Mus musculus: one gene and its partners. The protein of the gene in region 2 interacts with the protein of the main gene of each other region in a biochemical or structural test. Links are inferred from orthologs where the notes say so. Each region holds a gene or a part of one and is shown on either strand. Other genes may lie near its edges. The genes, in order: Ywhaz, Prkcz and Pard6b.

Region 1 (3,747 bases), on a different chromosome or scaffold from region 2:
ATGAAGTAAGACCCAAGTAAAGAAGACAGGAAGACAATTGGGCAGCTAATCAAACTCACCAGTAACTTCCCCATACTTCAGGCCTATAGGCTCTGGGTTTTGGCTTTGCTACATATTATTCTTTAGAATTCTTCTCAGTTGACCTTCCATGGCAAATCTAATTCTGGCCCCCTTGCAGCCTTATTATGCCTTTATTAGGCAAACATGTTGATTGGAGTTTGTAAAAACTAAAAGCACCTTTTGGTTTATTAAAACACAAAGAAACCTTGCTAGTTAATGCACAAGGCAAAAGCCCAAACTATTTTCCAAAACAAGTCTGCAATTTATGCAGAGAAATCTCTTAACTTTCCCTGAGGTGTATATTCCATATAGACGTGTATTACAGACATTAACAGACATTTCCATTTTACAAAAGATTTAACCTAGTATCTTCTGTCAAATTTCTAGCACCTACTACAAAACTGCAAACATAAAAGCTTTTGAAATAGTCATTTTAAGTGAGTCACTCCCTGAAAGAATTTACATTACAGCCAAAGTAAGTTGACTTCAGTATCTTGGAGATAAAACCTGAATTAATTTGCTCATCTGCTTAGCATGTTATCTGTTGCTGTGGAAACCGGTGTGTGTGTTGGGAGGGGGGAGGGCGGTTGGCGAGGGGAGCGACACTGAACTGGTCACAGGCAAATCTCTACCTAGCTGTCATTTCAGGCAAATTATAATTTGTACAACAAACTTGTGATTCAAACAATGTAACCAACATTCTGATGAAAGACAGTGGTAGGGAAAGAATGCTTGTCATGAAGTCTTCCAGGGGGCTCTGGGGCTGAATTCCTGAGGTTCTTTTTCCAGTTGTGCTTAGTGTAGGCCCCAGAAGGGGCTCAGTGAAAATATTTTAGCTCAGAGGCGCACATTTAAAGAGAGCAAGGACAGATTCTTCATAGAGACTGCATCTCCTTTCAACTTCCGTCTCCTGGGTGGAGACCTTGCGGGTTCAGGCACCTGCAATTTCCGCCCTTTTCCTCCCCCCCCCCCCTTTCCGGGCGGAGGAGCCTCGCTCCTCCTCCAGCTAGAGCCCTAGGAACGGCCACGCTCCCTAACCTTGCTTCCAGGACCTAAAAGGGTCGGTCACTCTCTTACAATGCGCTAATTAGGAACAATGTGTCTCCCAATGAAAGCTCTACAGAGGGTAAAGTGCAGCCCACGACAACAGTTCGGTGTGTTCTAGCCTGTTTCCCCGCCTCGCCCCACGTCAGGCTTCTACGATCACGTCCAACCCGCTAGCCCAACCCTTTCCCCGCTCCTCCCAGCGACCACCCATTGTCCCCGCGGCTGTCACGGTGTGGACGCCGAGCTCGCGACTGGAAAGGCAGGGCGTCATTCAGCCTCGCGCTTTTCCCAGCCTTAAAAGGTCTAAGGCCGCTTCCTGCAGCCAGAAGGTAAAGCGGGCCGCCCGAGGGAGCAGCCGCGCCCGGGCCTCCCTGCCCCGGCGTTGGCGGAGCCGCTGCCCTACTCTCGGCTTCTGATCACAATGCCCTGGCAGTAGAGCTGCCTTCACCCTGCCCCGCAACCCGCCCACCGCCATTACCGGCGCAGAGAGAGGGCGGCCGAGCGGGAAGGGGGTGGGGGGGAACGCGAAGGTCCCGGATGTGCCCGCCAGTGAGGTGGGGGCGGGGAGAGGCTTCCTTCCGCGGGCCGCAGGGGCGGGGAGGGAGGGCAGCTCGCGGGGGCGGCGGGGAGCGAACCGAGCACGCGGGTGAAGGCAGGGTCGGGAGCGGAGCGGAGCGCGAGTACGCGCTCTCCTCCGCTCGCCCTCGGGCACGGGCGGGCCGGCCGGGCGCGCGCAGGGGAGCGGCGGTTGCGCCGGGCCGGAGAACTGTGGGCACCAATCAACGGTTGCCATAGCAGCGTTTGACGTCATCGTGCGTGTGGTGCCCCTGCTGCCGGGGCTAGTGATTGGAGGAAACCCCGTGTCTGCGGAGCGGCTGTAGCCTGTGAGCAGCCAGATCAGGGACAGAGTCTCAGCCTCGCCGCCACCGCTGCTGCCGCCGCCGCCCAGAGACCGCCGAGCCGCGTCCGTGTGCCGCCACCCACTCCGGACACAGGTGAGGAGCCGCCCGAGTCGGCCTCCGGTCCCTTCAGCCCGCCGCCGCGCTGCGGCCCGAGAGGGGTCTTCTCAGGAGGACCCGGGCGGCGGCTCGGCTCTGCCGGGCCCGGGCAGGCGCCCACCGCCGCCCCCGGCCGCTTGCTTCTGGCCTGCCGGGCTGCTCATCGCCCCGTTCTGGTCCCCGGGGTGGGGGTGGCGGATGAGGCGCCCACGCGCGAGACCCAGGGGCTCCCGCTCCCGAGGGCGACCGCGATCCGCCCCCGCCGGCACCCTGCTTCCGCCCGCGACTGTGACTCGGCCGTGGCGCAGGTGAGGCCGCCCCCACCCGGGGCGCCCCCGCCACCCCCTCCCCCACGGCGGGGGGCAGCCAGGTAGCACGCGGGGCTCTGGGGTGGGGCCCGCCAGGGACCCTGGGCTGGGCTCGCTGGGGCCCGCAATGCCAGAAAGGACTCTCGGGACGCGCGGTGGGGGAGGGGCGCGGCCAGAGCTAGGCGTGGGGGTACCGGGGCACGGGGTCCCCAGCGTCCTGGGCTGGTGGGAGGTTCGCATCTTTCCAGGAGCTGCGGCCCCAGGATGGGGGCTGCGCCTGTCTGGGTGGGGCCCTGCCCCTCCCCCTACCGCAGCTGTCGGGACATCGGGGCTTGGGTCGGACACCGGCGGAGGGGACCCTGGGCGGGAGCGGGGTGTGTCCGGCGCGGGCCGGCCGCGGTTCCGCTTCTGCGGGCGCGGATGGCATCGGGCCCCCGGGGAGGGTGATCTGCTCCCCCTCCACCACCACCCTCCGACTGGGGCGGGTGCACGGACTGCTCCTCCCTCTGCCCGGGTGGGGGGGCGATTCACAGTCGGAGTAGGTTGGGCTCCTTGACACAGTTCCGCCATGACAAAGAGAGTCGGGGACTAGCGCGGAGGCACCAGCCTGGGCGGAGCCAAGGAGGGGAGGTGGCTGCGGATGGCGCGGACGCAAGGACTAGCGCTTTAAAGTCACCGCTGCGCGGTTTCGGTTCGCCCCACCCTCCGGCCTCAGGCAGCCAAGGGTTAAGTGGGTGCGGCGAGTATTCCCGCAGTCTGAAGGCGAGGCCCAGGAGCGCTCGTTTTCCTGTGAGAAACCTAATCCACTTCCCCTTATCCGGGAGGTTGGCGGGGGAACGTTTGTACTGACTTAGGCTTACATCATTTTTGGAAGCAACATTTACCAGTGACCGTTTCTAATGTTAGATTTCGAGACCCCGGGGGAAGTATGGGTTCACAAATTTTAAATAGTTAATGCACGGAAGGTACTGTGTCTCGAATTTAAGCTAGCCCTATCCGTGTTTCTGTTCTGGACACTGCTCATTTGGCTACCAAAAAGAGGTCCTTTCTGGAAAGGTAAAGGAAAGAATTTCCATGGTGGGCGGCAGTGACTCTTTATTCCTACACTTAGTGCATTCAGGTTGTGACTTTTCATTAAAGTGTATTTTGTGGGATCACTATATGATTTAGAATTTTGCTCTTGGAATTGTTGAAGAAATGAGAAGTAAATTGGAATCTAGGGAACTTTAAAATTGAGCGAAAGAAAACTGGGGAAATATGAGGAAGACCAGCTTGAGGAGTTGTGACTGCTAGAAATCCTGCCGTGACTCCAGACTGCAGCAGGCAGCAGACAT
Region 2 (3,647 bases):
ACAAGGGCAAATGTCGAGTCCTTGTAAGTTACCCAGTCTTGGGCCTTCCATCTAACAGCAGGACTGCACTGGGACCCTTACCTCTCCTTACTCATCAATCACTTACCCACGTGTGCGGTACGCCTGTCGGATCAGGTTTGTTTCTAAGAACTGAGATGCATCTATAAGCCAGACACTGATCCCTGCCACAGAGCCTAAATGTACTAGGGAACATCACATCAGCTCCACACCAGCCACATAATGCCTGCATCCCAAGCCCGTGCAGGGCAGTGTGGCCCATAGGACAGATCTTCACATCGTTCTGGGACCCGTTGTCAGCCACCTTCCCCTGAAAGAGCAGAGTGAATGCTGGACAGAAGGCTGGGCACCAAATCCTCAGGGATGCCCCCACTGTGTCATTACCCCTGTGTAGCCCAAGAGCCCTGCTTGATAAAGAGCAGCTGTATCTTTTGGCTGTCCTGGAACTCGCTCTGTAGACCAGGCTGGCCTCGAACTCAGAGACCCACCTGCCTCCCCAGTGCTGAGATTAAAGTCATGCACCACCACCACCTGGTATGAGTGTGATACTGAGAGGATTTCTTGCCACATACATCTCGGTACCACGTGGCACATGCCAGACACCAGTCTCTCCTGATGGCTGTTCATTCCCTGCTGGGCTAGAGGGTCCAACTCTAAATAGTAAAAGATGGAGACAGAGTTAGAATGAGGAGAGGATTGAAGGTGGACTTTCCCCGTGCCCATCTAGGTGAGGATGTTGTCACACCCAAATACCATTATGATCAGGTTCTGAGACCAGAGAGAGAGAGCACTCCTGTGTAAGCAAGCTTTCAGACACCAGCAGTAACATTGTTTCTAGGCACTTGTGCGCACGAGCTTTCAGCCGCCAGTGGTAACATTGTTGCTAGGCACAATGGGGCCTATATGTCCAGCACCTTTTTAACCTGTTTACTTTTCCTGGTACTGCATATTTTCTTCTAGAGTCTGTGCTTTTAGGGGTAAAAAATGGCATTCAAATACCAGGCATGTTGAAAAACTGAGCTTCCCATTTTATTTTGTGATTTATGTGCACACAAAGATCTGATGCTGGCAGAGAGGATGCTCAGCACCCATCTGACCTCTCTCTTGTCAATGTTCCCAGCTGGAAAAGAAGCAGACCCTGCCTCCCTTCCAGCCCCAGATCACAGATGACTATGGCCTGGACAACTTTGACACGCAGTTCACCAGCGAGCCTGTGCAGCTGACCCCAGATGATGAGTAAGTCCCGGGTATCCTGACCTGCCCCGACAAGTGTCACAGTGGAACGTGTCCTAAGCAGCTAGAACCCCTGGGCCAGTGCATGGCCCCATGCTTGGGTCCTTGCCTCTAGAGTGTGAACTAGGGGAGGGACACAGCTGCCAGTCTTCATCTGCTTCTTGTGTTTTTAGGGACGTCATAAAGAGGATCGACCAGTCCGAATTTGAAGGCTTTGAGTACATCAACCCACTTCTGCTGTCTGCTGAGGAGTCCGTGTGAGGCCATGAGCATCTCTGTTGTGGACACGCCTGTGAATGACCCTGTCACTTTACCCTTAACTACAGCATATGCATGCCAGGCCGGGCACCGAGGCTCCAAGCAGCCAGGGAGGGATGCTGGCCACCAAGACCGAAGAGGGGCGTCCAACAGGCACTTCTAGACAGAGCAATCTCTTGTGTCCAGGCCCCAGAGGCTGGCTTTGTGCTGGAGGAACCGCTTCCTGTGCACAGAGGCCCTACCGGAGGGTGAGACAGCCAGCCACGCCGTTTGGAAAGGTGCACATCTTCCACAGAAACAGAACTCGATGCACTGACCCGCTCCAGGAAAAGTTAGCGTGTAATGCCCTGAGGAATAAAGTGTACCGATGATGTCGAAGCTTCCTCTGATGCCTTTTTTCTGTGGCACCCGCCTGATGTCCCCAGCGCAGCCCCCACATGAGGAGGAGCTGCGCTTTCTGAGCAGTCAGGACGTAGGCAGGGGACAGGCACCCAAGTGCCTGCAGGGATGCGCTGCAACAAGAATTGTTACAGATTCGGAACGTTTTCTAAATCCCGGTAAGTTCTGTTGTTAATATTTAACAAGTATTTTCATACCTAGCACAGCTAGCCATGGTAGGCCAAGGCCGAAGGGACACCCTTACCAGGTTGGTGGCACTGTTCCCACCAACTGTTTGGACTCTGATGGGGAAAATTGGATCATAGAGATTCTAAAACATTGCTCACCAAAGCATCAGTAAACCAAATAAATAGGTAAATAAATAAAAAGGGAAAATAATTGAAAACTAAATCCGCACAAAATATATTTCTGAAAACACTAGCCAGTGCCTCCAAGACATCTTGTGTTATACATTAGATTTTTTGGAAAATATTTTTATCATTAATACTCCAGATTAGGAAATTTAAAGACAACGTGTGTGATGGACCCTAGCCTTAAAGTGACAGACTACCCATAATCTCACACTCTTCCTGAGGAAGCACGCCTGCTTCCATAACTGCTGTGCTCAGCCATCCTCCTCTCCAGCTTAGTTCCAAAGGCCAGCCCAAGGCTTTCTGGGAAGAGGTCAGCTAACGTTACCCTTAGCAGGTCGGGTGTGGCCATGGCTTACCCACCTTTGTCGTGGGCAGGAGATGGAGAAGGCACACCGCAGTGACTGAGCACCCCAGACCCACCCAAGCCAGGCTGGCCCATATGGCAAACATGCTACACACCCCCCCAACCCTGCCAGGTTGAGACCCTCAGTCTCCACGTCAGGGCAGAGTGGAGTCTAGGCTCCGGTCATATTTGCTTCATGCCTTGGGGTTGGTGGTCCTGACAAAGATCAGAGTTGGAGAAAATGAAAATCTTAGAGGCGCTGTTACGGTGCTGCCCTGCTTCTCCGTGACGCCCAGTGGCCACCCACAGCCCTCACCCCAAAACACTCAGGTTTCTCAGGCCATCGCCATGTCTGGCACTGAAACGTGTCAGAGCCACACCCAGATCCATGGTGCTGGGACAGAACAGGCAGCCCAGGTTTCTGACACCATATCCCAAGTCCAGGCTTCTGGGTGGCTCTGTGTCTCCTATTGATCATGGACACATTTTAGCCAGCACTCCCTGTGTCCATTGGTAAGATATGTCCCCAACTAGTCAAAAAATGCAAATAGAGCCTAAGAGCCGATTTTTGGGCCTCCCAGGAGTACCCAGCCCAGCCTGGGGGCCTTCCAGGGGTACTTAGCCTAGTCTGGGGGTCCAAGTGGCTGGAGCCCCAGTCTGAGGCCTGTGTAGTCACAGCTGCCCATGAGTTGAGCTGCTAAGATAAAGAGCCCGCAGATGATCCAAATGCAAACGGGCTCCTGCGAGCCTCCTTTCCTCCCAGTGTGCTGCCTAGGGACAGCAACAACTGCTTTGCCCAAGCAGCACTGGAACCCTGGATTGTTAGACATGGGGGCTTATTTGGATACTGCCCTATTGCCAAATGACTTGCTGGTTACTGGTTCGGCTGCTCATGTACAAATGTGTGAATAATATTGTGCCCACCAGAGGGGGAGATTTTTATATATAGCAATTTGTTTTATAAATTAAAGAAAGTGAAGGATGTATTGAAATGTGACTACTGGGGGGGGGGTGGGAAACACCCTAAAGTTTGCAAATGGCTC
Region 3 (3,747 bases), on a different chromosome or scaffold from region 2:
AAAAGGGGGAAGGGAATGTGAGCCTGTAAGATTTGCCACAGGTTATTTTGTTGTTGTTTTGTGTGTTTTAGATTTTGAGACTGGGTTTCAGGACATAGTCCAGGGGAGCCCCAAACTTGCTGTGATATGATATAGCCCAGGTTGGCCTTGAACTTGGGATCCTTCTACCTTTTGCCCTAGGCTCCTGAGCAGGGGGATGACAACAGGTGTGTGGGCCACAATTGACTATCAGAATTTCACTGGCCAGTTAAGGTGTTCATAGCTAGTGATGTTTGTGATGTGTGAGAGGGCCCTCTAGTGTCTTCTGATGGCACGGCAGTCACTGGTGCAGTGACTGAGTCTGGCTGAGTAAGCAGCCACTCAAGCCGAGGTGGCCTGTGCATTGCCTGGCGTTGGTCTGCTGGGGCAGCTGTGGGCAGCTGTGTTTCAGCGGGTCTGTAACTGTCCCATGTCTGCTCTCTCCACGCAGAAGAAGCTGACTACAGTGCCTTTGGCACCGACACCCTGATCAGGAAGAAGAACATGCTGAGCAACGTGCTGCGTCCCGACAACCACCGGAAGAAGCCTCACATCGTCATCAGCATGCCGCAGGACTTCCGGCCCGTGTCATCCATCATCGACGTGGACATCCTCCCAGAGACGCACCGGAGGGTCCGTCTGTACAAGTACGGCACAGAGAAGCCGCTGGGCTTCTACATCCGGGATGGCTCCAGCGTCCGAGTGACACCGCACGGCTTGGAGAAAGTCCCCGGCATCTTCATATCTCGGCTCGTCCCTGGGGGTCTGGCCCAGAGCACGGGCCTGCTAGCTGTCAACGATGAGGTGTTAGAAGTCAACGGTATAGAAGTGTCCGGGAAGAGCCTGGACCAGGTGACTGACATGATGATAGCCAACAGCCGCAACCTCATCATCACCGTGCGCCCGGCCAACCAGAGGAACAACGTGGTGCGCAACAGTCGGACTTCTGGCAGCTCCAGCCAGTCCACTGACAACAGCCTCCTGGGCTTCCCACAGCAGGTGGAGGCCAGCTTCGAGCCCGAGGACCAGGACAGCGACGAGGACGACATCATCATTGAAGACAGTGGCGAGCCGCAGCAGATCCCGAAGGCCACCCCCGCCCAGAGCCTGGAGTCCCTGACGCAGATCGAGCTCAGCTTTGAGTCCGGACAGAACGGGTTCTCCCCTCCTCAGGACACGAGCCTGGTGCCTGTGCCCGGCAGCCTGGACACAGAGCTGGAAAGCCGGGCTCCGGACCAGAAACTCTTAGAGGAAGATGGGACAATCATAACATTGTGAACCACCAGGTTGTTTTCTGTTTGAGGGTGTAAGGAACAATGTTGGTGTGCACACATGACTGACACTGTGGACCTGCAGGCCCTGATGTTCCACAACAAGTGTGGCCGGGCTGGGCTGGGAGTCTGCCGAGGCAGGCTGCCGTGACACGGAGCAGGTGCTGCTGCTCTGAAACTGAGACCTGCCTGAGCCGAGCTGCGGTGGCCGGTGTCCACCTGCCTGCAGAGCCCGCTCCTTGCCCTCTGTGAAGTCTGATCATCTGCTAGCCACTGGGGACCTCGGTTCTTCGATTCCCAGACCCTGTTTTCTGACTTTTAAAGTGTTCCTCTGTTAACTGTGACAAATTATTTTTTCATGTGCAGTTTTTGTTCTGTCTTCCCATTTTCTAAAACTTTAGCTGGCCATGTCTAGGGGCCTTTCCCCTGGCCCTGGAGCGACACCTGTTGTCGTCACCCTGGAACTTTACAGTTTCGGGGTGCCATAGTCCTTCATTCCAGTCCAGTGGAGATTATTTCAGTGTGTGCTGTGCACGTGTGCGCATGTGTGTGTGTGTGTGTGTATGTGTGGTGTATGTGTGTGTGTGTGTGTGTGTTTGTGGGTAGGTGATAGCATAGTTAGTTGACTCCCACACTCTTCAGTGTACCAGACAGTGTGGATCATGGGATAAAAATGCCCCCAGGTTAAGAGACTTACACACGATATAGATGTGCACTTTTTATTCAAAAGACGGAGTTTTCTTCCTGGGGATTCTAGGGTGCTGCCCACATTTGGGGAAACCCGTGTCAAGTACACCACTCGCAGGGCTGGTGATTATTTGAGTCTATTTATTCTCTTCTGTGCGTCCATTTGGGATGAGGGGACCGCAGTTGTCTTCCCTTACCTGGCTCCCTCCTGTTGCATGCACAGTCAGCGAGACCCACGTGTGTGGCTCAGACTTCCCTGAGGCCCAAGGCTCTGAGGGGGACAGTTATTTATTTCTTAACCTTGTGGTGGCCGAGTGTGGGTGCCTCATAGGTGTGTACTGACTCCGAGTTGAAGGACTTTTTCCTCGTAGTAAGAGCCGGCAGAAATGAAGTCTTGATCCAATGAAGGGCACTGACTGAGCGAGTTATCTGCAGGCGCCTGGCGGAGGCTGGGTGCAGTGAGCCTGTGACTGTTGAATTCACTGAGTTTCTCCTCTCACACGGCACCCACCGCTTGCTAGCAGTGCTCCCCCTCGCTCCCCCTCTGACACTGCGCTCCCTGCAGTGGAAGGCAGCCATAGGCACAGAAGGCTCAGTTGCATATGTAACTTAGGGGTGCATGGGCTCAGCATTGTAAGTAAAGATATTTCACATACTACCTCTCTCTTCTCTCTTTCTCTCTCTTTTTTTAACAGAGTTTTAACATAGAACCTTTCTCTTGGGGGAAGAAATACTTCAGGGCTTGACTTTTGTACAAATTTTAACTGAAAAACAGATTTCTCTTCTGTCTGAAAACGGAGATCAGAGCTGCTGACGCTGATTTTAATTTCAAGGACAATAGTGTTTGTTAGTGATGAGGTCGTACCAATGAAGTCAATGTCAGTAGACCTTCTGTGAGGCCAGTGAGTCTTGGCTGTGGAGGTCCCGTCCCGTCCCGTCCCGTCCCGTCGGCTCAGTTCTTGAGACACCTCGGAACAGGAGCGTAAGCGTCGGCAGCTTAGCGTGCAGTTCTGTTGTCCCGAACGTCGAGCCTCACTGTGAATTCTGTTCTGTCCTAAGTCCGCCATGTCAACCAGATGCTGTGCTGTTGTGAACCATGAATTTTCTAATTAAATTTTACATGCTATAACATACATGCTATAACATGATTTTTACATGAATGATACTTTGTTTAAACTATTAAATGTCAGTATTTTACTACAATTTTATTATAAAATGTACATTATCACTAAATGAACTTTGATTTTAAGAATCAAGTTAGCTTTAGTTACATATTATTTTTTACAAATAAAAACGGACTTGTATAAAGGCTACTTTCTTGTTTGAAATTACATGAAGAGAGGATGTAAGGATGTTTGCCAAGCATCCTTAGTTACTGCATAGGGAGTGAAACTGAGTCACCACTGATTCCTTGACCCTTTTCCAGGGCTATGCTGAGCCCCAGGCCTCGGTCCCCACATCCCCCACCTGTCCAGGCTGAACCCCAGCTCGGGGCACTCGGTCTCTCGGAGCTGGAATGACAGACGCAGGCCATGTGGCCATTCCCTAGTTGTTTTGTTTTGGTTTTTAGTTTTAGGTCAGGTGCAGTGGCATGCCTTTGATGTCCAGAACTTGAGAGGCAGAGGCAGTCAGATCTCTGTGAGTCCCAGGCCAGCCTAGGCTACACACTGAGAACATATGTTAAGATAAGGTATTTTGTGTGTGCACACAGAAGTATATTTGTGTACATGTAGGTGTTGGGACAACTTGTAGAACCTGGTTCTCCCACTGG

Evidence for each region.
Region 1: the proteins of Prkcz (region 2) and Ywhaz form a complex in vitro, tested with the Homo sapiens proteins (2 studies listed by BioGRID, with this or other methods). The link is inferred for Mus musculus from reciprocal best matches to the Homo sapiens genes PRKCZ and YWHAZ.
Region 3: the proteins of Prkcz (region 2) and Pard6b form a complex in vitro, tested with the Homo sapiens proteins (2 studies listed by BioGRID). The link is inferred for Mus musculus from reciprocal best matches to the Homo sapiens genes PRKCZ and PARD6B.

The regions. Positions count from the first base shown.
Region 1 is NC_000081.6:36,791,834-36,795,580, reverse strand, and holds the start of Ywhaz (14-3-3 protein zeta/delta), read left to right. Parts: upstream 1-1,042; 5' UTR 1,043-1,436; exon of another isoform or gene 1,437-1,661; intron 1,662-1,902; exon of another isoform or gene 1,903-1,905; 5' UTR 1,906-2,102; intron 2,103-3,747.
Region 2 is NC_000070.6:155,260,309-155,263,955, reverse strand, and holds part of Prkcz (protein kinase C zeta type), read left to right. Parts: intron 1-1,138; coding exon 1,139-1,254; intron 1,255-1,424; coding exon 1,425-1,512; 3' UTR 1,513-3,647. UniProt on the Homo sapiens protein: Calcium- and diacylglycerol-independent serine/threonine-protein kinase that functions in phosphatidylinositol 3-kinase (PI3K) pathway and mitogen-activated protein (MAP) kinase cascade, and is involved in NF-kappa-B activation, mitogenic signaling, cell proliferation, cell polarity, inflammatory response and maintenance of long-term potentiation (LTP).
Region 3 is NC_000068.7:168,097,915-168,101,661, forward strand, and holds the end of Pard6b (partitioning defective 6 homolog beta), read left to right. Parts: intron 1-469; coding exon 470-1,296; 3' UTR 1,297-3,289; downstream 3,290-3,747. UniProt on the Homo sapiens protein: Adapter protein involved in asymmetrical cell division and cell polarization processes. Probably involved in formation of epithelial tight junctions.